Linked DNA regions of Elephas maximus indicus. The protein of the gene in region 2 purifies or fractionates together with the protein of the main gene of each other region. This does not show direct contact. Links are inferred from orthologs where the notes say so. Each region holds a gene or a part of one and is shown on either strand. Other genes may lie near its edges.

The links.
Region 1: the proteins of STK38L (region 2) and MOB2 purify together in Homo sapiens (affinity purification with mass spectrometry; 9 studies listed by BioGRID and IntAct, counting the BioPlex papers as one, with this or other methods). This does not show direct contact. The link is inferred for Elephas maximus indicus from reciprocal best matches to the Homo sapiens genes STK38L and MOB2.

What each region holds. Positions count from the first base shown.
Region 1 is NC_064825.1:136,424,750-136,437,583, forward strand, and holds the start of MOB2 (MOB kinase activator 2), read left to right. Parts: upstream 1-7,071; 5' UTR 7,072-11,208; coding exon 11,209-11,420; intron 11,421-12,834. UniProt on the Homo sapiens protein: Stimulates the autophosphorylation and kinase activity of STK38 and STK38L.
Region 2 is NC_064822.1:85,968,935-85,981,734, reverse strand, and holds the start of STK38L (serine/threonine-protein kinase 38-like), read right to left. Parts: upstream 6,218-12,800; 5' UTR 6,066-6,217; intron 1-6,065. UniProt on the Homo sapiens protein: Involved in the regulation of structural processes in differentiating and mature neuronal cells.

The DNA.
Region 1 (12,834 bases), on a different chromosome or scaffold from region 2:
TTTCCTCAGGGGCAGCGGGCCAGTGGTTCCTTTCTCCCCAGCCGCTGCTGGCCCCTGCCCAGAGGCACCTCCTTCCCTGCGCACAGGCCCCTGAGAAGGGGGAAGGGTGCGATTCCCAGCCAGGAGGGCCCAGTGACAATAGTCATCCTGGATTTCCTTCTGAGAGTCCTCTCCCCAGGCTTGAGGCTTATGAGGAATGGCTCCTATGTCCTGACCTCCTGACCAGGCGTGCTCCCTGACCAGGTGCATACCCTGACCAGGTGTGTTCCCTGACCAGGTACACACCCTGATGAGGTACGCACCCTGACCAGGTGTGCCCCCTGACCAGGTACATGTGCCCTCGCTGTAGCTGCTCCTCTCCTCCCAGGTGTAGACAGGGAGCAGCAAGGCTAGCCATACCAACACTGACTGTGAAACAAGGGCTACTGGGTGTTCTCACTGGCATTGTTTGAGGACCTGGGGACTTTGTGTTGGTGATGACAGCATTTGGGGCTGTTTTACCCCCCATTTGCACTCGGGCCTGGCTGCATCTAGCCTAGGAATGTGGTCCCATTGTGGGGCTCCCTCAGCCAAGCAGGCATTTTGTCGAGGGGGTGCTTGTGTTCTCAGGGGCTGGACACTCTGGAGGCTGTCACCACAGTGAAGGCACACCTGTACCTGACTCAGTGGCCAAATGATGACAGTGCACACACTTGAGTGCAGCTTTCTGGGCCCTTATGTCTGGCAACTGTTGGCTATGGGCACAGTCACACGGAAGCCCAGTAACGCGGGGAGCTGAGCCTGTACCTGAGGAAGGGGTTCTCGGGGCATCTGAGCCAGCTGGTGTCAGGGCTCTCACCTGGGGGGGTACGCACATGGCTACACATAAGCACCAATACCACTGCTGCCCTCCCGGGGAACAAGCTGCCACGAGCTGGCAGGGCAGCTGTGCTTCCACAGCTAACCATGTTGGGTGTGTGCTGGCCAATGGAGCGCCCCTCAAACGTCAGAGTTGACAAGTTTCTAGAGCCTTGGGGGGCAGCACTAAATCAAAGAGCAGGAGAGCAAGCAGTGCCCTGTAGCGATGTGTCGTCACCAAGGCAGGAGGCAGGCGTGCAGAAAGTTGAAGACCAGTTTCTCATTGTCATTTAAAAACATGTATCTTAAATATGGCATCTTAAATAGTTAAATCCCCCTTGCCTAGCAGTTTCCTGGAATTTTAAATTATTACAGCCATCAGTAATTGTTACGGTGTAAACTTTCTTTTTAAAAATAGACACGTAACATGAAAAGTTCTCATTTCCTGTGTTTTGTTGGGAAAACCAATGTTGTCAGGTCTCCAGCGCGTTAATATTTAGTTGGAAGATGGCTGACTTTGTAATCCCAATCCCCACCTTGCATGTTCCCATGTGTACACAGAGACACCCACCCTGTTGAGAGCCAGAAGCTCTGGGGATGAAGGAGAAAACAACAGTGATGTTTGCTTAGGATAAATATAGGTAAATATGTTGTAAAGAATGTATTTATAAATATTTACAAAATTCCTGAGGGCTTGTTGCTATCCTCAGGAGCCCTGGAAGCTCTGAGCAGGGTGGTAGGTGAAGCGTCTGGCTTGGCTTGCTTCTCCGTCATAGGAAGCATTCAGTCAGCATTTGTGAACACCAGGTGCAACATGTCTAGCAGCCCTGCTCATACTGAGGTCTGTCCACCGTGGGCCGTTTCCACCCACGTGACTCTGAAGAATGTCTCTGTGGTTGCGCTCAGGGCCGTTGCTCCTGAGTTTGAGTTTTAGCTCTGCCATTTCCCAGCTGCCCCATTTCTTGGGTGGGGAAAGGAGGGATTTCATGCCTTTTGCACAGGGTCTGTGGAGGTAACACGGGAGGTAACCTTCAGCTCACACCTCCTGGGAGCCCGTCAGAGCTCCCCAGCAGCACCCACAGGAAAGGACATACAAGGGTGAGCCCTTGTTTAGCTCTCTGATCTATCCTGAATTAATTTGTGTATGGTGTGAGATAGGGGTTGAGTTTTGTTATTTTGTTTTTTCCTTTTCCCAGCACCATTTATTGAAAAGACTCCTTTCCCCCAGTTTGTAGTTTCCTTAGAATTTTGTATACACACAGTCATGCTGTTTGTCAAACAAGGCAGCCTTTTCTTTTTCCATATTTATGTCTTGTCTTTTTTTTTCCTCATTTGCACTGGCTAAGACATCCAGTACAATACTAAGCAGAAGCAGTGAGAATAAACATTCTTGCCTTGTTCTTGATCTTCAGCTGAAAATGTTGTCTTTCAGCTACGTGTTTGATGTTAGTTATAGATTTTTCTGTAGGTGCCCTTTATCTGTGGAGGATGTTCCCTTCTATTCCTAGTTTGCTGAGACTATATTATACATGGGTGCCGAATTAGTTTGATGAGACTTTATATTATACATGGGTGTCGAATTAGTTTGCTGAGACTATATTATACATGGGTGTTGGATTAGTTTTCTGAGACTATATTATACTTGGGTGTCAGATTAGTTTTCTGAGACTCTATATTATACATGGGTGTTGGATTAGTTTGCTGAGACTCTATATTATACATGGGTGTTGGATTAGTTTTTTGAGACTCTGCATTATAAATCGGTATTCAGTTTAGCCATGTGCTTTTTCTGTATCTAATTGAGATGATCATATAATTTTTTCCCCCTGTATTCTGTTGATGTGGTGAATTACATTGACTGATTTTCAAATGTTAGCTAAGCTTAAATTCCTAGAATGAACCTCTTCTGGATATGATGTATTATCCTTTTTATTTATTATAAGCCACCACGTGTCTGTTGGTTTGTTGTACTATGGTAGCTTGTGTGTTGCTGTGAAACTTGAAGCTATACTGCTAGTATTTCATATACTAGCAGGGTTACCTGTGGTGGACAGGTTTCAGTGGAGCTTCTAGACTAGGACTAGGAAGAAGGACCCGGCAGCCTACTTCTGAAACAGTTGGCCTGTGAAAACCTTACGAATAGAAGCGGAACATTGTCTGATATAGTGCTGGAAGATGAGCCCCTCAGGTTGGAAGGCACTCAAAAGATGACTGGGGAAGAGCTGTCTCCTCAGAGTAGAGTAGACCTTAATGGCATGGATGGAGTCAAGCTTTCATTTGCCAACGTGGAACAACTCACAGTGAGAAGAAACAGCTCTAAACTATAATCGGAACATGGAATGTAGGAAATATGAATCTAGGAAAATTGGAAGTTGTCAAAATGAAATGGAATGCATAAAAATCAATATCCTAGGTATCAGTGAGTTGAAATGGATTGGTATTGGCTGTTTGAATCAGACAATCATATGATCTACTATGCTGGGAATGACAAATTGAAGAGAAACGGTGTCGTATTCATTGTCAAAAAGAACATTTCAAGATCTATCCTGAAGTACGGTGCTGTCAGTGATAGGATAATATCTGTAAGCCTACAAGGAAGACCATTTAATATGATTATTATTCAAATTTACACACCAACCACTAAGGCCAAAGATGAAGAAATTGAAGATTTTCACCAACTTCTGCAGTCTGAAATTGATCAAACATGCAGTCAAGATGCAGAGATAATTGCTGGAGATTGGAATGCGAAAGTAGGAAACAAAGAAGGATCTGTATTTGGGAGATATGGCCATGGTGATAGAAACTACATGCATGATAGAATTTTGCAAGACCAACTGCTTATTCATTTCAAATGTCTTTATTCAACAATGTAAACAGCAACTGTACATGTGAACCTCACCAGATGGAAAACACAGGAATCAAATCAGCCACAGCTCTGGAAAGAGACAGTGGAAAAACTCAGTATCATCCGTCAGAACAAAGCCAGGGGCCACCTGCAGAACAGAGCATCATTTGCTCAAGTCCACGAGGACCAAAATACGACCTTAAGTTTATCCCATCTGAATTTGGAGACCATCTCAAGGGTAGATTTGTTGCACTGAACACTGATGACTGAAGACCTGACAAGTTGTGGAATGATATCAGGGACATCATTCATATAGAAAGCAAGAGGTCATTAAAAAGAAAGGATAGACCAAAATGGATGTCAGAAGAGACTCTGAAAGTTGTTCCTGAATGTCAAGTAGTGAAAATGAAAGGAAGAAATGATGAAGTAAAAGAGCTGAACAGAAGATTTCAAAGAGCTACTTGAGAAGACGAAGTATTATAATGAAATGTGCAAAGAACGGGAGTTAGAAAACCAAAAGGGAAGAACACACTAGGCATTTCTCAAGCTGAAAGAACTGAAGAAAAATTCAAGCCTCAAGTTGCAATACTGAAGGATTCTGTGGGCAAAATATTGAACAATGCAGGAAGCATCAAAAGAAGATGGAAGAAATACACAGAGTCACTGTACCAAAAAGAATTGATTAATGTTCAGCCATTTCAGGAGTTAGCGTATGATCAAGAATTGATGGTATTGAAGGAAGAAGTCCAAACTGCACTGAAGGCACTGGCACAAAAAGAAGGCTCCAGGAATTGACAGGATCCCAACTGAGATGTTTCAACAAACCAATGCAGTGCCAGAGGTGCTCACTCGCCTATGCCTGGAGATTTGGAAGACATCTGCCTGGCCAACCGACTGGAAAAGATCCATATTTGTGCCCGTTCCAAAGAAATGTGATCCAACAGAATGCAGAAATTATCGAACATATCATTATTATCACAGGCAAGTAAAATTTTGATGAAAATTATTCAAAAGTGGTTGCAGCAGTACATCGATAGGGAACTGCCAAAAATTCAAGCCAGATTCAGAAGAGGACATGGAATGAGAGTTATCATTGCTGATAGATGGATCTTGACTGAAAGCAGAGAATACCAGAAGGATGTTTACCTGTGTTTTAATGACTGTGCAAAGATATTCGACCGTGTGGATCATAACAAATTATGGATAACATTGAGAAGAGTGGGAATTCCAGAACACTTCATTGTGCTCATAAAGAACCTGTACATAGACCAAGGGGCAGTTGTTTGGACAGAACAAGGTGATACTGCATGGCTTAAAGTTAGGAATGGTGTGCGTCAGGGTTGTATCCTTTCACCATGCCTATTCAATCTGTATGCTGAGCACATAAGCTGAGAAGCTGGACTATATGAAGAAGAACAGGGCATCAGGATTGGAGGAAGACTCTTAACAGTCTGCAGTATGCAGATGACATAACGTTGCTTGCGGAAAGCAAAGAGAACCTGAAGCACTTACTGATGAAGATCAAGGAATACAACCTTTCAGTATGGATCACACGTCAACATGAATCAAAAATCCTCACAACTGGACCAATAAGCAACATCATGATAAATGGAGAAACAGTCGAAGTTGTCAAATATTTCATTTTACTTGGATCCACAATCAATGCCCATGGAAACAACAGTCAAGAAATCCAACGGTTTATTGCATTGGAGACCTCTTTAAAGTACTGAAAAACAAAGATGTCACTTTGAGGACTAAGGTGTGCCTGACCTAAGCTGTGATGTGTTCAGTCACCTCATATGCATGTGAAAGCTGGTCAGTGAATAAGGAAGACTGAAGAATTGATGGCTTTGAATTATAGTATTGGCGAAGGATATTGAATATACTGTGGACGGCCAGAAGAATAAACAAGTCTGTCTTGGAAGAAGTACAGCCAGAGGGCTCTTTGGAAGTCATGGTGGCAAGACTTCTATCACGTACTTTGGACATGTTATCAGAAGGGACCAGTCCCCAGAGAAGGACTCATGTTTGGTAAGGTAGAGGGTCAGCAAAAAAGAAGACCTTCAACAAGATGGATTGACACAGTAGCTGTAGTAATGGCCTCAGATACAGCAACGAGGTTGTGAGGATGACGCAGGACTGGGCGGTATTTTTTTCTGTTGTACATGAGGTCGCTGTGATGGGAACCGACTCTGACGGCACCTAACAGCAACAACAACATAGATTTGAATTGCAAGTATTTTGTTATGGATTTTTGCATCTATGTTCATAAAGGATGTTAGTCTGTAAATTTTCTCTTTAGTTAGTATCCCTGTCTTATTTTGGCATAAGGGCTCTGCTAGCCTCCTGGAATTAGTTGGAAAATGCTTCTTTCTCTGTTTTCTGAAAGAAATGTGTAAGGTTGGTACTTTATCTTTCTTTTATATATTTAAAAAAAGAAAAAGTTGCCTTCGAATCGATTCTGACTCATAGCAACGCTATAGGACAGACTAGAACTGCCCCAAAGGGTTTCCAAGGAGCAGCTGGTGGATTCAAATTGCTCACCTTTTGGTTAGCAGCCAATCTCTTAACCACTGTGCCACCAGGGCTCCCGTTCTTATGTATCTGATAGAATTCACTTGTAAAGCTACCTGCATGTGGCATTTTCTTGTAGGAAGGTTTTTAATTATAAATTCAGTTTATTGGCAGATAGGGGCTATTCATATTTTCTCTTTATTCTAAGAAGGTCAGCTTTGGTAACTTGTGTTTTTCAAAGAACTTGTCTACCTCATCTAAATTTTCTGTTGGCATATAGTTTTCGTTATAGCCCTGTGTTATCCTCTCAATGTCTGTAGGATCTTAGTTTTGTGTCCCCTCTGTCATCTCTGATATTGGTCATTTTATGTCTTTCCGTCTTCCCTGCCCATCAGTCTAATCTAGCTGTGGAATTTGTCAATTTTCCTGACCTTTTCAGAGCTAACTTTGTGATGAATTTTTCTTTATTATTTACCCATTTCTATTTCATTGATTTCCGGTTTTTATTTTCTTCCTTCTACTTAATTCAGGTTTGATATGCACCCCTTTTTTCTAGCGTTTTAAGATGGAAGTATAGCTCATTGATTTTAAATCTTCTCTGACAATATAAACATTTATAGATATAAATTTCCCTCTCTGAGCTTTGCTTTACCTGCATCCCACAAATTTTGATAAGTTATGTTTTTATTTTCACCTTTTCTTTGCTTGGTTTCATCTTTTGTTAAGGCTATCCCATAAAACTTTCATTTCAGATACTGTATTTTTTAAGTTCTAGAATTTTCTGTTCTTTTTTGTAGTTTCCATGTCTTTTTTGAGGGTACTAATCTTGTTGCTCATTGTGGCCATCTTTTCCTGGAAATCCTTTCATATATTTATAGCAGTTGTTTTAAAGTCCTTGACAGTCACTTCCAGCATCTCTGTCATCTCTGGGTCTGTTTCTGTTGACTCTTAGAGTTTTGTGGGTTATGGGTTACATTTTTCTGCTTCTTCACGCATCAAGCTTGTTTTTTTTTTTTTTGGTATGCCAGATACTGTGGAGACCATGTTGTTGAAATTCTCAGTGTTGTTGTCCTCTTTTAAAGAGCACTGTTCGTTCTGGCAGAAGGTGGATTTACTGTTGGTTCGGTGGGTTGGTTTAAGCTTTAGTGGGGCAGGTCTAGGGAAACCCTAGCTCTGGGGCTGCAGTAGCCCTACTCCCCCGGCATGGCTTTTGTGGAGTGTTCCTGAATGTCCCACGGCTCTCCGCCCTGACAGTTGGAGTGCCCATGTCCTCTTGTCTTACGTAGCCTCCAGAATTTCCCTTCAGCTCGCGGCTCCTGTGTAGCTCCTCTTTGCCAGGTTGTGTGGCAATTCACTCTGCACATGCTCAGCTCGGTGGCCGGCATGAGTGAATCCATGGTCGTGTTGCAGGTTTTTTTTTCTGTGCAGCTCCATCCTTTTGGGTACCTTGCCTGCACGCTTCTGCAGTCAGCAGCCCTGGGCGTCCACTTTGGCTTCCTCTGCTTAGGAAGACCACGGTGCTCTGGGTGCATCTCCCCATCCGGCACCGCGGTCTGGAAGGCCAGGGCAGTGCTGATCGCTCATACGCCCCCCTTAGGTCCCGCCCAGCGTCTGAGAGCAGTTGCTCAAGCCTTTTGACCAGTTCATAGGTGTAGATGGTGGTTCTGTCGTGAGCTGAAGTGGAAATCTCTTTGTTCCGTTTTTACCAAAGAAAGTTCCTCCTTTGTCACGTCTGTTTCTCCACTGGGCTTGTTGTGCTCCTTCGAGTCCAGACTTCGTTTCAATAACAGTTTATCTGTTATATCTTATTCCATTTTGTGTTCTTTTGCCTCTCTATTCAAAGCTTTTCTTAAATCACTTTATTCCTGAGATTTTTTAATTCTTCTTTATCAGGTTGGTTTTCACCTCTTTTATGCACGTGTCTTTCTCGAGTTGTTGTCACTGGAGTGTTCTCTTTCTTCTCTTCTCTTGTAGTAACTCCTTAAGGGATTCCGCCATGCTTGCTCTCAAGTGAAGTGAGTTTCCCTGCACCCTTTGGAGGGATGCTGGTTGGGGATCACTGTGCTGACTTCGCAGCTCTGGAGTACCTCGGTTGTTTTCACAAAGCAATGAAAAGATAGGTGGCCCCTCCATGCTTCTGACTGTTGGCATGGGAGTTTACGGATAAGCTGGGGGAGGAGACTGGAACCATCTATGTGGCAGTGAGACACTAGCCTGATATCGATACAGACGATTACATATGGAAAATTTATAAATACGTGTATATCATGGGGTTAGTGTACACACGTATCACCTTGCCCTGTCAGCTGAGAGGACCTAGAAGCAGTGACACTCCAGTGGCAACGAGCACACCCGGCGCCCAGGTCTTGATCTCTGCACTGTTCTCCAGTAAAGGAACCAGGGCACCTTGAAGAAATAGCTGTATTGGGGGCTGGGGCAGGAAACTCACAAGAGGAGCCTGGAACCTCGTGAAATGTGAGAATGCAAGAAAGTGCAAAGAAAGAGACAGCGAAAGACAGACAGACAAACAGCAGACAGACATAAAACCCCCAAACAAACCCCACAGTGATGGGATATGTCAAAGGGACACAGGAGCCAGTTGAAAGAGCCCCCAGTGGCCAAAACTGGGACAATTTGATTAACAAAATACATGATGTAGTACTGGGTTATAACCCAAAGTATAAAATGAATGTCTGAGAACCCATACTGACATAAACAAATGTTTGAATAAATAAATACTCAAGGGAGAAGAGACAAATCTCCCCTGCAGAAGGATCCCAGGTCATTTATATGGATAATCCACCCTAAGGAGGGGGAGGGCAAGTCCTCAGTCCTCGAGTCTGGGCTGCACAGAGTGACTTCCAAAGAGGCCAGTGGATAAGGGTGGGGGTAACTTTATGGTGGAGAAGCCTGGCAGACACTCCCTCAGCCAGGTGATCAAGGTGAGCACCCACAGTGAGGTTATGTGGTTGGCCTGTGCCCTTCACATGTGATGAGAGGACATTTACCTCTGGGGTCATCCTCCAGCACACCCGTAACTTCAGTCTAACCGTGAGAAAAGGTTCAGACCAACCCTACTGCAGGCAGAGTCTGCAAGATACCTGACCCCTTCTCAGCACAGTCAGGAGCATCAAAAACAAGGAGAATTCAAGCAGCCATCCGAGCCCAGAGGAGCCGAAGGAGACACGACAACTAGATGTGACGTGGTGTGCTGGGTGGGTCCCGAGATCCGACTAGATGTGACGTGGTGTGCTGGGTGGGTCCCGAGATCCGACTAGATGTGACGTGGTGTGCTGGGTGGGTCCCGAGATCCAACTAGATGTGACGTGGTGTGCTGGGTGGGTCCCGAGATCCGACTAGATGTGACGTGGTGTGCTGGGTGGGTCCCGAGATCTGTGCTGCTGTCAGAAGAGCGGGGCAGGGCTTGCCACGTCTCAGGGCACAGTGCCTGGTGCTGTTTTAGCTGCAGAGTATTCTAAGAATAGTGCTCAGTGGCTGTGTTGGTAGGGCCTTATTTTAGCGTGAGAAATCATTTTCTGTAAACGTAACTCAGTGATGAAGGAGGCCTCGCTACCTTCCTTGTTCCCTCGGCGTGCTTGCATAGACAGGATGGAGGCCCTGATCTTAGATGGCTGCTCTGTGGGCCCCACAGCCCTGCCCACGCCTGTGTGTTGTGGAGCACCTGGCAGGTCGGCTCTCCACCTGTTCGCACCCAAGGCCGTTGACTCCTGCCTGAGTCTCTTGGCACCTGTGTGGTGGGAGGGCTGAGCAGAGCCACCCGGAGTGGGTGTGCTCTTGTCAGAAGTGCTAGGCTGCAGCCCCATCCTGGCTTACCCGACCTACCTTACCCACTGGTCTCTGCCGGCTGGTGGCCACACACGTGTCCACCCAGGCCAGGCCCTCAGGACAGGAAGCTCCAGGGTGGACACCACCTTCCCGATACCTGCATCCCTTCTGGCCAGCGGTTAGCACCTTGTCTGGGCCCAGAGCCCTTTCCGAGCCTGGATGGGTTCCTCTGACTTCAGAGATCACGTATTGAATGTCATGGGGTGTGAAAAGGTGTCCTGGGAAGCACCTGCTTGGAAGTCAGGCCCATTGTCTGTCTCCTGTGACTGCTTGCTCTGCGTGTGTGCACCTGTAAGATGGACACCCCGCTGTGGGGGATGAGCAGAGCACTTGGGGTGTTTTGTCGCCCCCTCCCCACCCCCTCTCACTTCTCTGCTGGTCATTCTTGCCCACCGTGCTGCCGGGATCTGGGTTCTATGCCTGCAGCATCAACAGGGGCAGCAGGCACACCCCCACGACATAGATGCACGAGGCGCCTGGTCCAGTGGTGTCCGATGGTGACTGGCACATAGGGGGAGCTCACCCCAGGTCAACAGCTCCTGCAAACAGTGGGGTCAGAGCTGGGCAGGATGAGGGGCACTGTCCTGACTGTCGGTGCTTCCTGCTCCTGTGCGCTCAGCTGCAGAGAAGACCCCCTGCCACCCTCGAGAGCCGGTGTCCTGGGCTTGCACAAGGGCCTCACACAGACTTGAGTGCATTGTCACTTCACCATCGGCATGGCTGGGCCCCCTGGAACCGCGATGGACTTTGTGGTGGGTGTGAACTCTGGGAGGTGCAGGCCCTGAAGAAAGGCTGAGGGACTGAGTGCAGACATAGTCGCCGGTTTCCCCTTCACTTGGGGCCTGCCTTGAGCAGTGCATCCATCTCCTCGCCCACCAGCCTGTCCTCTTCACAGAGCTTCCCTGTCCTCGCTGGAGCCTGCATCAGGGGCTGCTGTGCTCAGAGGGCCTTGGTGGGCTCAGCCAGCACCCTCCCGGTGCTGGCTGGCTAGGGCTTGCAGCCAGCTCTATCCTCCCACCCACCTGGCCTGAAAGGCTGGCTGGGACACGCCCTTATTTCAACAGCCCAGCCCTGCCTCCTGCTGAGGAAGGCACAGCTGTCCGTGTGCCCTCAGCCAGAGCCCCTCCCTCTGCCATGTCCTCATTGGCTGGGGGCAGAGGGAGGGGATGGCCCAGCACTGGGGCCACTTGTCAGCTCCGCAGGGAGGGAGCCAGAGCGACTGGCTCCAGTGTCCCGTCCCCCACTCCCAGCCCCACAGTCTCCTGACCATGCTTGGCGACCACGGGACTCTGCCTGCAGACCGAGGTCTGTACAGCCCTGCCCCCAAAACAGGACTCAGCTGCAAAATGGTCCTCCGGGCCGTCGGCAAAGTGCTCAGGTACCAGCCCCCTGACCTGCGAGTTGGAGGGGCGGGGGTGGGGCAGGGCTCCTTTGGCTCTTGTCCCTCTCCCCAGGCAGTCAGTCTGGGGGCATTGACTGTGTTGCCCGAGGCCCAGTAGCTAGCTGGTGGCTAAGCAGTGCCAGGCCCTGGTGGACCTCCGGCGGGATAGGGAGGCGGCAGCTGTGTGTGCCCCAGCCTGGCCGGCATCTCGTTCCCCGTGTTCCCTGTTCCCAGAGAGCCCGTGGATTTCATCCAGAGCTGGACTGTGGGCAGCTGCTCAGTGGGCAGCTTCATACACATGGGGGCGGCGGGGTAGAGGGACAAGCTGAAGACTGAGCCCTGAATGAGTGACTGTCCTGCCTTTTGGAGCTACCTGATCCCTTGACCATGGGGTTCTGTCCTGCCCCCCCCCCCCAAGCCCACTGGTCTGCTCTTCAACACCAGGTGTATCCAGCTGTTGTCACTGGTCAGTGGCTGCTTGTCTCCAGGGGTCCAGGCGTCCTTGAGAGAAGCAGGGTGGGCACCTCAGTGTCTGCTCGCAGAGAAGCCCTTTCTAGAAGTTTCCTTGCCCCTTATTCTCACCTGCTACCAGGTCCCTCCCTCCTGCGACCTCTGTGTACAAAAACAGGGACTCACAGAAACTCACTTTGGAGAGTTGGCAAGCTTGTGAGAGCGTGTAACTGTGCAGTGTGTGTGCACGTGTCAGTGAGTTTGTGATTGCGTGGGTGTGTATGTGGGTATACGTATGCATGTGTGAGAGTCCTGAGGGTATGAGTGTTTACATTAGTGTGTTAGTATTGTGTGAGTAGGCATTCAAGTATGCACCTGTGTATGTGGTACTATGTGTGTGGGTATGTGTGTTAGTGTGCGTGCATGTGTGTCTCTGTATGAGTGTATGTTTGAGTGCATGTGTGTACACGTGTGAGTGTGAATGTGTGTGTGCACGTGTCTGAGTATCTGTGAGTGCATGTGTGTGTACACGAGTGTGTGTGAATGTATGTCTGTGTGAGTGTGTGTGCACGTGTGAGTGTAGGAGGGAGGTGGGTTCTTGCCCTCAGAGGCAGCGGTACCATGGTCCCTTCAGGGAAGCCCTGGTTGGCCATGGTTCCTGGGGACCTGGGATGCAACATTTGGCGGAATGGAGCTGGCCCCTGCCTGCACTCCGGCCGTGAGGACAGAGGTCAGCAAGCATGGTCGCTGGAGTCCGCAAGGCTTGCAGAGTTGCCTCTCCAAACACGTCCAGTGGAGTGTCGCTTCAGTGTCCCCTCATTTAGTAATCTCACGTTGGCATGCGGTTTCCCCAGGTCCCAGGTTTGTCATAGAAAGTTACCCTCTCTTGCTTTCCCAGCGCTGCCTGTAACTGCAGCCAGACCAAGTGGTCTCCCGGTGAGGGTCTGGGCTGTGGGCAGGC
Region 2 (12,800 bases):
AGTATCCCTCCCACCTCTTACCTCCACTGCATTCTAGGCCCAGATATACTTTTTTCCCTAACCTTTAAATCCAATTGGATTTATTGTGATTCCAATACTTACATAAAAATAACAAATGTGGACTATCCCTGAAATTTCATAGATAAAAATAATTGGGCCATTCATTCAACAAGCATTTATTGAACGGGCCTACACCATGAACTGTACATTACTATAGCACCTTTGGAGCCCTGGTGGTGCAGTGGTTAAGAGTTCCACTGCTAATCAAAAAGGTCATCAGTTTGAATTCACCGGGCCCCCCTAGCAAATCCTATAAGGCAATTCTACTCTGTCCTATAGGGTCATTATGAGTCAGATATGACTGGAGGGCAATGCATTTGGTTTTTTTTTTTTTATATAGTACCTTCAAAGGAGCCCTGATAGGGCAGTGGTTAAGTGCTTGGCTGCTAACCAAAAGGTTGGCAGTTCAAACCCACCTGGCACCACACGGGAGAAAGTCGTGGCAGTCTGCTTTTGTAAAAATTACAGCCCTGGAAACCCTATAGGATCCCTATGAGTTGGACGCGACTGAACAGCAACAGTTTAATGTTGCTGTTGTTAGGAGCTGTTGAGTCGGTTCTGACTCACAGTGACCCCATGTACAACAGAAAAAAACACTGCTCAGTCCTGTGTCACTCTCATAATCATTGTTATGCTTGAACCCATTGTTGCAGCCACTGAGTCAACCCATCTCATTGAGGGTCTTCCTCTTTTTCACTGATTCTCTACTTTACCAATCATGATTGTCCTTCTCCAGAGACTGATCCACCCCCAACCCCGGTAACATGTCCACAGTATGGGAGGCTAAGTTTCGCCATCCTTGCTTCTATGGAGCATTCTGGCTGTATTTCTTCCAAGACAGGTTTGCTCTTTTTATTTTGGCAGTCCATGGCATGTTCAATATTCTTCACCAACACCATAATTCACAGGCATCAATTCTTCTTTGGTCTTCCTCATTCACTGCCCTGCTTTCACATGCATATGACTTCCTCATGCATATGAGGCCACTGAAAACATCATGGCTTGGGTCAGGTGCACCTTAGTCCTTCAAGTGACATACTTACTTTTTAGCATTAAAAAGGTCTTCTGCAGCAGATTTGCACAATACAATGCGTCTTTTGATTTCCTGACTGCTGCTTCCATGGGTGTTGACTGTGGATCCAAGTAAAATGATATCCTTGACAACTTCGATCTTCTCTCTGTTTATCATTATGTTGCTTATTGGTCCAGTAGTGAGGATTTCTGTTTTATGTTGAGGTGTAATCCATACTGAATGCTGTAGTCTTTGATCTTCACCAGTAAGTGCTTCGAGTCCTCTTCACTTCAGCAAGCAAGGTTGTGTCATCTGCATATCACAGGTTGTTGAGTTTTCCTCCAATCCAGATGTACCGTTCTTCTTTATATAGTCCAGCTTCTCAGCATACAGATTGAATAAGTATGGTGAAAGGATACAACCCTGACACACACCTTTTCACTTTAAACCACACAGTATCCTCTTGTTCTGTTCGAAGGACTATCTCTTGATCTATGTACAGGTTCTGCATGAGCACAATCAAGTGTTCTGGAATTCCCACTCTTCGCAATGTTTTTCATAATTTCTTATGACCCACACAGTCCAAGGCCCTTACATAGTCAATAAAACACAGGTAAACATCTTTCTGGTATTCTCTACTTTCACACAGGATCCATCCAACATTAGCAATGATATCCTTCATTATCTTTTATTTTACAATCTCAAAGAGCTTTCAAAATTTCCCAATACAACGTATAAAAAAAATGGGTGATTGAATTTCTCATTTTATACATGTACAACACTCATCTCTCAAAACCTTGTTTCAGCTATTACAAATTTAGATGTTTGTGGAAATAAAAACTAAAAGGGCCATGCAATCATTAACTAAACCCCAACTTCACACTTAAATCGAAAGCATGCCCAACGCCAAGTGGCCAAAAAAATTACAAGTCAAAATATTCAGTGATTCAAACGTTTTACTAGGCAAAGAAGTTAATATAGTTATAACTTCTTAATTCTAAATCCTTATGGGGATGTTAGTAAGTAATATAAGTCAAATTTATCAGAAGTCCCACTCCATGGTGATATTTAATTTACACCAAGAGCAACTTCCAAAAATGGACTCAATATCTAACATGCCCAAGATAACATAGGTACCTGGGTTATCACTGCTTTGGAGCTCTTTTTAGCAGTTAAGCACAGGAATACAGGGTTAAGCTAGAACGCCTGGGTTGTCATCCCGCTTCTGCCACTTAACTAGCTATATGGCTTTGGTATCTCAGTTACCCCATCTGCAAAAGAGGAATAATTAAAATAACTACTCTGTATGGCTGTTGTGAGTATTAAGCCCAGGTGAACAAGTAGTACATTTAAATGTTTGCTTATTATCATTATTATATGACTAAACCCATTGCTGTGGAGTTGATTCTGACTTACGGGGACCCTATAGGACAGAGCAGAATTGCCCATAGGGTTTCCAAGGTTGTAATCTTTACAGAAGCTGACTGCCACATCTTTCTCCTACTGGAGCAACTGGTGAGTTCGAACTGCCAACCTTTCGGTTAGCAGCCAAGCTATTAACCATATCACCTCCAGGGCTTCTTTATCATTGGACTACCAAAACAAAACAAAACCCATTGCCACTGAGTCAATTCCAACTCACAGCGGCCCTACAGAACAGAGTAGAACTGCCCTGTAGGGTTTCCAAGGAGCGCCTGGTAGATTCGAACTGCTGACTTTTTGGTCACCCAAATCATCTATGCAAATGCTATTTCCTATTCAAAGTCTTCCTTAATTGGTCTAAACCCAAAAACTCATTGCTGTTGAGTTGATGCCGACTCATAGTGACCCTATAGGACAAAGCGAAACTGCCCCATAGAGTTTCCAAGGAGTGACTGGTTGATTCCAACTGCCATCCTTTTGGTTAGCAGCCCTAGTACTTAACCACTATACCAACCCAGGGTTTCCTTAATTGGTATAGCAGGACTTAACCCTTCCCTTCTTGGCTTCCCCCATAAAATGCATGTGTATCATAGTTATTTGAACACATTTCTTTCCATTGGAATATAAATCCTTGAAAACAGAGACCACAGCTCACCTGAGTGTACTGGGCAGGGAATATTGTTCATTGTTTCTTTTTTTTTCCCCCCCTAAAGTTTCTCAACAACAATACTCTGTCAACTAGCAAACCTTTACCTGGAGACAGAAGGTTTATGTAACCTGTGCACTTAAGTACTGGTCATTCTTTGCTAAATATTCTCTAAGACTTAAACAAAAACTGGGAGGGCAGAGAGATTCACTTGTTTTTTAACAGTTGGCCAAGAATACCTTTAAAAAAAAATTTTTTTTTTAATTTTTTGCCTTAAAAGCTTGCTGTCATTATCTCATCCTAAAAGCCCATGGTGCTTTGTACAGTAGCATAATTTCTGCATATGTCAAGTCTAACCTAACCATAACTTGCCCATCTGCTGATTTAATGTAATCCTAGGAATGGTAGATGACAACATGCTTGCTTGATTCACCCTACATTATTTATGTAAAATAAAATCATCTTAACATTACACTGAGAGGCAAAGCTTTCTGGCTTTGATTTGTGCCTTTTCCCTTTTGATAAAGTGCCACCAAAAAAAACAGTCTCTAGGACAGAATTTCAAATTCTCATGGAATCCAAACTTTCTGGAGCCACTGAGGCCAGACGACCCTTAATATTATTACCCTGAGGAAACCTTTAACCGGGAGGTTAAAGTCATCTTTGAACCAAGTAAGAGTTCAGCCTAATTAGTAAAGAATGTCTGCATTAAGCATTATACTCTTTTAAAGGACTTGTCTATATGTGATCAAATTGTCAAAAACTCCAAAGGAGAGATGAGAAGCTTAGGGAGGCAGTGAGTTTGTGTTAATCATGGTGAAATAGTTTTGGGACGGTGGTACAATCTGAAGAATGTAAACACTGTCGCTGACTGTACATGTAGAAATTGTTGAAGCAGTGTATGTTTTGTTGCATATATTTTCACTGAAAAAAAAAAAAAAAGACTCTAGCTTATCCCGGATCACTTTCTAAAGTATGTTATCTAACTTCACTAACAATGATACGGCCCTAACTTTGAGAGAACAGAATTTTTCTGAAAACAAATGGTTTAATTGAGTTAGTTGCTTTAAACTGTCATCATTTTCTAGAAAGTAAACTTAGTTCTTCGTTCTTACACTGCTCTACCTTTTGAAATTAATATTTTCAGCACAAAAACTGCTGAGGACACCTATTTACCTGCACAAATATTCCTCAACTTCAGTCCTGAGTTTTGACTTATTTTAAAACAAACTCTCAAAAACAAGAGGCTAGAGGAGAATTACACCCACTTAATGTGGTTTTTCTCAGTTTAATTTCTTCATTCCCCAGTGCCAGGGCTTTTCAAAAGAGTACAAAACTACACCCAAATTTGTTTCTCATTCTAAACACATCCCAACTAAATGGGAAACATTCTCAGCCATCTTAACAAGGAGAACACAAAGCTAAGCCACGTGAAACCTTTTTTTTTTTTTAACCATTGTACTGCTTTTGAGATCAGAATTTTTCAGATAAAAGTACCCTGATGAACCTGTGCAATGAACAAGTGCCAACATAATTTACCATCTCTTCCCTCCAAGAGTCACAAGAGTGGCTAACTCACACACAATACCTCTCAGCTACTTGCGAGCTGAGTATAATAAGCTTAATTGTTTTATATACCCGGAGGCATACAGAGAAAGGCCAGTCAAACACAAAGCAGTTTCCAGTGTTTTATATACATATACGGCTAAGACAAAAAACTGCATTGGGGTGAGCAAAACTGGGCTTACAACCCTGCTTTAAAGTAGGGAGACCTGACAAGTTTAAAGACTCCTCATTCCCCCATCCCCCCAAAAAAGACAGGGTCTCACTCTTCAATTCCCACTTTATGACCGGGGGCATAAATTAAAACAAAGTCGTTTCCTCAGATTTTAACAGTAATAAAGTTAATACCCAGGCCTTTTTTGAGTAATTAGCTTTTATCAAAACGCATCACAAGTTACATGAAATAGACAAGAGTGTTGATTCTGCATTTTATCACGTGAGCAACAACAGCATCACACTTCTGGACAAACCACTACTTACAGCACACACCTCCCCCCAACACACACAATTTCTTTTTATAATCATTGCTCCAAACATAGAACCCAAAAAGAAGTCCCACAAAACAAAAAGTAGCATCAGTAAACGGGAGGCTACTGGTTTTGAAAATAAAGTCTGTTCTTTTGCTATCAACCTGGCAACTTTTTAAAGGTGAAATGTCCCCTACTTAACAGGGTCCCCTACTTAAATCTTTATTTCCATCCCAAATAACCACTCCAGTTCGTCCCCGACACTAAAGGTGAAAAAAAACAGAGTGGAAGATAAAGATGTTGAAAGGAAGGGTCTACGGTACCAATGGAAGGAACAGATTAGATTTTAAGACTGGCTTTGAACAATCCGTGGCTTCTGAGGCTGGGGGGCTTTACTGTGTCTATCGGAGAAATGTTTAGCTATCTGACGCATCAGTTTTTAGGAATGGTACCAAACAGCCCCCACAATTTAAGAGCTGTACCTAGAAACCTTCCTCTTGGTAACACAGGCTAGAGGGCACGGGACAGGAGACCAGGGGATGCCAGGAGACGGTCCGCGACATTTGTTATTGTTTATGAAGCCCAAGCAGGGACCAGGAGCGCGGTGCTCCGGAGCAGAGGAGTGGAAGGGGAAATTAACAGAGAAGGACGAAGATTCCTTCCCCGGTTCGAGGCTACCTCTCCGGACAGACGGGGTCAGCAGCACCCCGAAGAACAGGAGGGCCAAGGCCGTCGCCAGAGCGTCACCGGAGACATTTCCAGCCCCGAAATTAGCCCGGCATTCCCTGGACATTCAAACATACATAAGATTTCATTCTGCTCGCAGAGCTAGGGCCGGTGCGGCGAGCCCGGGTCCCTCCGCCGCGGCTGCGGAGCGCCGCATCCGCGCACTCACCTGCCTCCGGTCGCGCCCGCAGCCGGCTCAGCCTCCGCTCGGACCGCAGCCGGCCGGGAGCCCGTCCGCTCCTTTTTCCTTGCTCCGCCCTCGCCCCGCCCCCGGAGGTGGGTCCGGCCGCCGCGCCGGAATCTCGGGACGGCCTCCTTGGATTCTCGCGAGCCTTTCCTCCTCGGCTTCTCCGTGGCTGGACCCGTCCGCCTCGGTCCTGACGTCATACGCACTACAGACGGAAGTAGCCTTCTGTCGTCAACGCTGGCCCCTGGCCCCACCCACTTCCTGCTGGTGGAGGGCTGACTGGCCTTGGAAAAGTTTACTGGTCGGTTGTCACCTTCTCCTGCTAGAGCCCCGCCTCGCTGCCCTCTTATTTACTCAAAATTGGTTCAGGCTTGCCTTGAAAGTAAAACTGTGTGTTGGCACATTAGTTACATGGCCTAATTGTCGTTAAAGTTTTTCCCAGTGCTTAATGCAATTTTTTTTTGAATGCAATACAAAGAATTTTAGAAATAGGAGCTTAGAGATAATCTTGAATCCACACATTTAGCAGATTAGAAAAACATGGTCAGCGAAGATGGACTGGGTGACCAAGTTGCTTAGTCAGTAGCTGAGTGGGGACTAGAAGCCAGTCCACGAAAAACCAAACCAAACCCAGTGCCGTGGAGTCGATTCAGACTCATGGCGACCCTACGGGACAGAGTAGAACTGCCCCATAGAGTTTCCAAGGAGTGCCTGGTGGATTTGAACTGCCGACCATTTGGTTAGCAGCTGTAGCACTTAACCACTACGCCACCAGGGTTTCCAGTAGCCAGTCAGGTTCCTTAATTCCCACTTCACCAAGTGTCTAGACCCTAGTGATTTGGATTGGAAAACTATACAAAATGCTTGGCAGTGTACATAAAAGACTTGCTTGAGTTACCTTGGAAAATCTAAAATAATTGACAACACCGGGCTGCTTTATCATTAGGATTGTAGAACTGTGAGGAAAATCACCTCCCTGTAGGATGACTCAGAAGGGATGACTTTGGGGAAAATGATGAAATTTACGTTTGGGGACAAAACTGGTCTTTTGGAAAACCAAGTAAGAGTCACTCCAAATTATTGGTGACAAATTATTCTTAATATGTATTATTAGAGTTTTTAGAAAAGACTCAGCTTTTGTACTGCTAAGGGTTTCACAATATATGAAGATGGTACTGTGCATGCAGAAAATATCTTTCAGAGATGCCAACTGTTATCTTTAAGTTCAGTAAAAGTAGATGACACATATGCAGAAGACTTCGAGAAGAGTTACACCATCATTTCTCCCTTCTTCCTCTCTTAAACTCTGTGTGGTCTCACATATAGTTTGGTAGTGGGAAAAACAGTAGTGTGGTAATCAGTGTATTGGGGAAATCAGCTCCACTTATGTGGTCAAGTGAGAGTTGCCATATTCAAACATAAAAAAAAAAAAAATCAAACCTCTTGCCATGAGTTGATTTCAACTCATAGTGACCATATAGGACAGAGAAGAACTGCCCCAATAGGGTTTCGAAGGCTGTAATCTTTACCAAAGCAGATTGCCATATCTTTCTCCTGTGGAGCAGCCGGTGGATTAGAACCCATGCTGCTCTTCGGGAGAAAGATGTAGCAGTCGCCTTCCTTAAGATTCTATCCTTGGAAAACCTATGGGGTAGTTCTACTCTGTCCTATATGGTCGCTATAAATCGAAATCAACTCAGCAGAAATGGGTTTGGTTTGGTTTTGATTTTTTACAGACTAGAACTCCTCCAATAGGGTTTTCTTGGCTGTAATCTTTATGGAGGCAGATAGCCAAGCCTGCTTCTTCCACGGTGCTGCTGGATGGGTTCAAACAGCCAACCTTTTGGTTACCAGCCAAGCTCAAACCATTTGGACCACCTGGGGACCTTAAGTTTGTTTGCTTGGAAACAAAGGCTGTCTTCTATAAGCTGTAGGTGACTTTCAGTGAACAATCTAATCATACACATGACAATCCATTCAGAACTCTCACCAGACTGCTTTCTGCAAAGCACTTTATAAACATGGAGACAATGACTTCTAATTGATCCCTGCCTTAATATTTAACCGACTTGATTAAATTGAAAATTATTTATTGTCTAGGGTTTAAGTTGTTCCAAGGGTTAGGTTATTTCTCCCCCAAAGTGAAAAGCATTGATGTAAATTAGAAGCCTGAAGGAAAGCATTAAGGAAAGGCAAAAAATATATTTCTCCCTTTTCACTACATTTTTGAGATTTGTATCCCAAGGGTCTGCTTTTGTTACTAGTTGTATGACCTTCCACAGGTCAGAAAAAACTCTCTGAAGTTCTATTTCCTCATCTGCAAAATGGCAAGAATATCAACATCATTAGTTGCTGCAAAAATGAAATATGATTATGTGTGGTGAAAGCACTTTGTAAACTGTAAAATACCATTGCCACAATAGAAAGAATACCAGCTTGAAGATAGAAAGAACTCAGTTTGAATAATAGATGTCTTTTAGGATTGTTGTGAGGATTAAATGATTTTAAGTAAAATAATATGAATTAAGCACCTAGTACAGAACAGAGAATATGTTCATGTTCAATTCAAGGTAGCTGTTATTATTACCAGAGTTGCTGGGTGGTACAAATGGTTAACAAACACAGCTGCTGACTGAAAGGTTAGAGGTTTGAGTCCACCAAGAGGCACTTTGGAAGAAAAGCTTGGTGATACACTTCTGAAAAACCAACCATTGAAAATCCTGTGGAGCACAGTCTACTTTAATACACGTGAGGTCAGCATGCGTTGGAGTTCACTCCATGACAACTGTTTTCTTATTACGATTATTATCACTCCACAACTCATCTATCAGTTTGTCGTACTCTGGTGGCTTATGTGTTGCTTTGATGCTGGAAGCTATGCTGTCAGTATTTCGAATACCATCAGGGTCACCCATGGTGCATAGGTTTCAGTGGAGCTTCCAATCTAAGATAGACTAGAAAGAAGAGCCTGGCGATCTACTTCTGACAAAATTGTCCAGTGAAAAACTTATGGAATATTGTCTAATATAGTGTCAGAAGATGAGCCCATTGGGTTGGAAGGCACTCAGAATGCAACTGGGGAAATGCTGTCTCCTCAAAGTAGGGTCGGCTTTAATGATGTGGGTTGTGTCAAGCTTTTGGGACCTTCATTTGCTGATGTGACATGACTCAAAATGAGAAGAAACAGCTACAAACATCTGTTGATAATCAGAACATGGAATGTATGAAATATGAATCAAGGAAAATTAGAAATTGTCAAAAGTGAAATGGAATGCTTGAAGATAGAAATTCTAGGTATTAGTGAGCTGAAATAGACTGGGTACTGTATATTTTGAATCAGACAATCATATGGTCTACCGTGCTGGGTACTCTATGGGGCAATTCTACTCTGTCCTCTAGGGTCGCTATCAGTCTGAATCGACTCGACAGCACTGGGTTTTGTACCATGCTGGTAGTAACTCATTGAAGAGGAATGGTACTGCATTCATGGTCAAAAAGGATATTTCAAGATCTGTGCTGAAGTACAACGTTGTCAGTGATAGAATAATATCCATATTCCTACAAGGAAGACCTGTTAATATGACTATTGCTCAAATTTGCACACCAACCACTAATGCCAAAGATGAAGAGATTGAAGATTTTTACCAACTTCTGCAGTCTGAAATTAAACAAACATGTAATCAGGATGTATTGATAATTACTGGTGATTGGAATGCGAAAGTTGGAAACAAAAAAGAAGGATCGGTGCTTGGAAAATAAAGCTGTGGTGACAGAAATAACATGGGCGATTTCATGATTAAATTTTGCAAGACCAATGACTTATTCATTGGAAATACCTTTTTTCAACAACATAAAGTGTGACTATACATGTCGACTTTGCCAGATGGTATTCACAGAAATCAAATCGATTACACCAGTGGAAAGAGAAAATGGAGAAACTCAATATCATCAGTCATAACAAGGCCAGGGCTTGCTAATATGCAAGTTCAAGTTGAAGCTGAAGGAAATTAGAAAAAGTACACAAGAGCCAAAGCACCACCTCAAGTATATCCCACCTGAATTTAGACACCATTTCAAGAATAGATTTGATGCATTGAACACTGATGACCAAAGACAAGTTTGGAATGATATCAAGAGCAGCATACATGAAGAAAGCAAAAGGCCATTAAAAAGACAGAAAAGAAAAAAGACCAAAATAGATGTCACAAGAGACTCCAAAACTTGCTCTTGAACATAGAGTAGCTAAAGCAAAAGGAAGAAATGATGAAGTAAAAAAGCTGAACAGAAGATTTCAAAGAGCAGCTTGAGAAGACAAAGTATTATAATGAAATGTGCAAAGATCTGGAGTTAGAAAACCAAGGGAAGAACATGCTTGGCATTTCTCAAGCCGAAAGAACTGAAGAAAGAATTCAAGCCTCAAGTGGCAGTATGGAAGGATTCTATGGGCAAGAAACTGAACAATGCAGGAAGCATTGAAAAGGGATGGAAGCAATACACAGAGTCACTGTACCAAAAAGATTTGGTTGATGTTCATTCATTTCAGGAGGTAGCATACGATAAAGAACCGATGGTATTGAAGGAAGAAATCCAAGCTGCACTGAAGGCATTGGTGAAAAACATGGCTCCAGTAATTGACAGAATACCATTTTAGATGTTTCTTCAAACGGATGCAGCCTGGAGCTGCTCACTCGTCTTTGCCAAGAAATTTGGAAGACAGCTATCTAATTAACAGACTGGAAGAGATCCATATTCGTACCCATTCCAAAGAAAGGTGATTCAGTGGAATGCAGAAATTATCCAACACTATAGCACACAAGTAAAATTATGCTGAAGATCATTTAAAAGTGCTTGCAGCAGTACATTGACAGGGAATTGCCAGAAATTCAAGCTGGATTCAGAAGAGGACATAGAACGAGGGATATAATTGCTAATGTCAGATGGATCCTGGCTGAAAGCAGAGAATACCAGAAAGATGTTTACTTGTGTTTTATTTACAACATAAAGGCATTCGACTAGGTGGATCATAACTTATGGATAGCATTGCAAAGAATGGAATTCCAGAACACTTAATTATGCTCTTGTGGAACCTGGACATAGACCAAGAGGGAGTTATTTGAACAGAACAAGGGGATATTGAGTGGTTTAAAATCAAGAAAGGTGTGTGTCAGGGTTGTATTCTTTATGCTGAGCAAATAATCCAAGAAGCCAGACTATATGAAGAAGAATGTGGCATCAGTATTGGACGAAGACTCATTAACAACCTGTGATATGCAGATGACACAACCTTGCTTGCTGAAAGCCAAGAGGACTTGAACCCCTACTGATGAAGATCAAAGTCTGTGGCCTTCAGTATGGATTACACCTCAACATAAAGAAACAAAAATCCTCACAACTGGGCCAATAAAAAACATCGTGGTAAACAGAAAATATTGAAGTAGTCAAGGATTTCATTTTACTTGGATCCATAGTCAGCGCCCACGGAAGCAGAAGTCAAGAAATCAAATGATGTATTGCATTGGGCAAATCTGCTGCAAAAGACCTCTTTAAAGTGTTAAAAAGCAAAGAGGTCACTTTGAGGACTAAGGTGTGCCTGATCCAAGCTGTGATATTTTCAATCGCTTCATGTGCATGCAAAAGCTGGACGATGAATGAGGATGACTGAAAAGAATTGGTGCCTTTGAGTTACAGTGTTGGTGAATACGGAATATACCATGGACTACCAGAAAAATGATCAAATTACAGCCTGAATGCTCCTTGGAAGTGAAGATGGCATACTTTGGATATGTTATCAGGAGGAACCAGGCCCCGGAGAAGGACATCATGCTTAGTAGAGAGTCAGCAAAAAAGAGGAAGACCTTCAATGAGATGGACTGACGCAGTGGCTGCAACGGCAAGCTCAAGCATAGCAATGATTGTGAGAATAGCACAGGACCAGGCAGTGTTTCATTCTGTTGTACATAGGGTGGCTATGAGTTGGAACCAACTGGGTGATACATAAAAACAGCAACAACATGATTTTACCATTAATAATAATAATTAGTGATACAACAAAAATACATACTTCAGAATAGAAACCTTTTTTCTTTTGTCAACTACAAATTAAATAGATCCTCTGCATCTAAGAAACTTTTTTGGTGATATTTACATCTACCATGAGAGAAAAAGGCCCTGTCAGAAACTTTCTTGCTTTGATTCTACTTTACTATTAATTTTTACAAATTCCTGATACTAACAAAGACACAGACACAGCTGATTTTCCACCTGTGAAATAAAAAATATGAGGTATAGGTAAGACTAGGGTAAATGATGCTGCAGTGATCATAGTATTTTAGTTGCTTAAAAGAGCAAAGATTTATTTATTGCTTATGCCCTGTATCTTTCACAGGTCAGCAGGAAGGCTTTGCTCATCAGAGTCCCTCAGGAATCCAGGCCAATGGAGCAGCCATTATCCTGAACATTGCTAATCTTCATGCCAGAAGGAAAAGACAAGATAGGAAGGTCTCAGGTTAAGACTTCTGCTCACAACTCATTGGCCACAAGTAGTCACATGTCCAATACAACTGAAAGGTAACCAGGTAGTACATGGTTAAGCACTCAACTACTAGCTAAAAGGTTGGTCATTTGACCCAACCCAGAGGTACCTTGGAAGACAGGTCTGGCAATCTGCTTCCAAAAGTCACGACCTTGAAAACCCTGTGGAGCAGCTCTACTTCTACT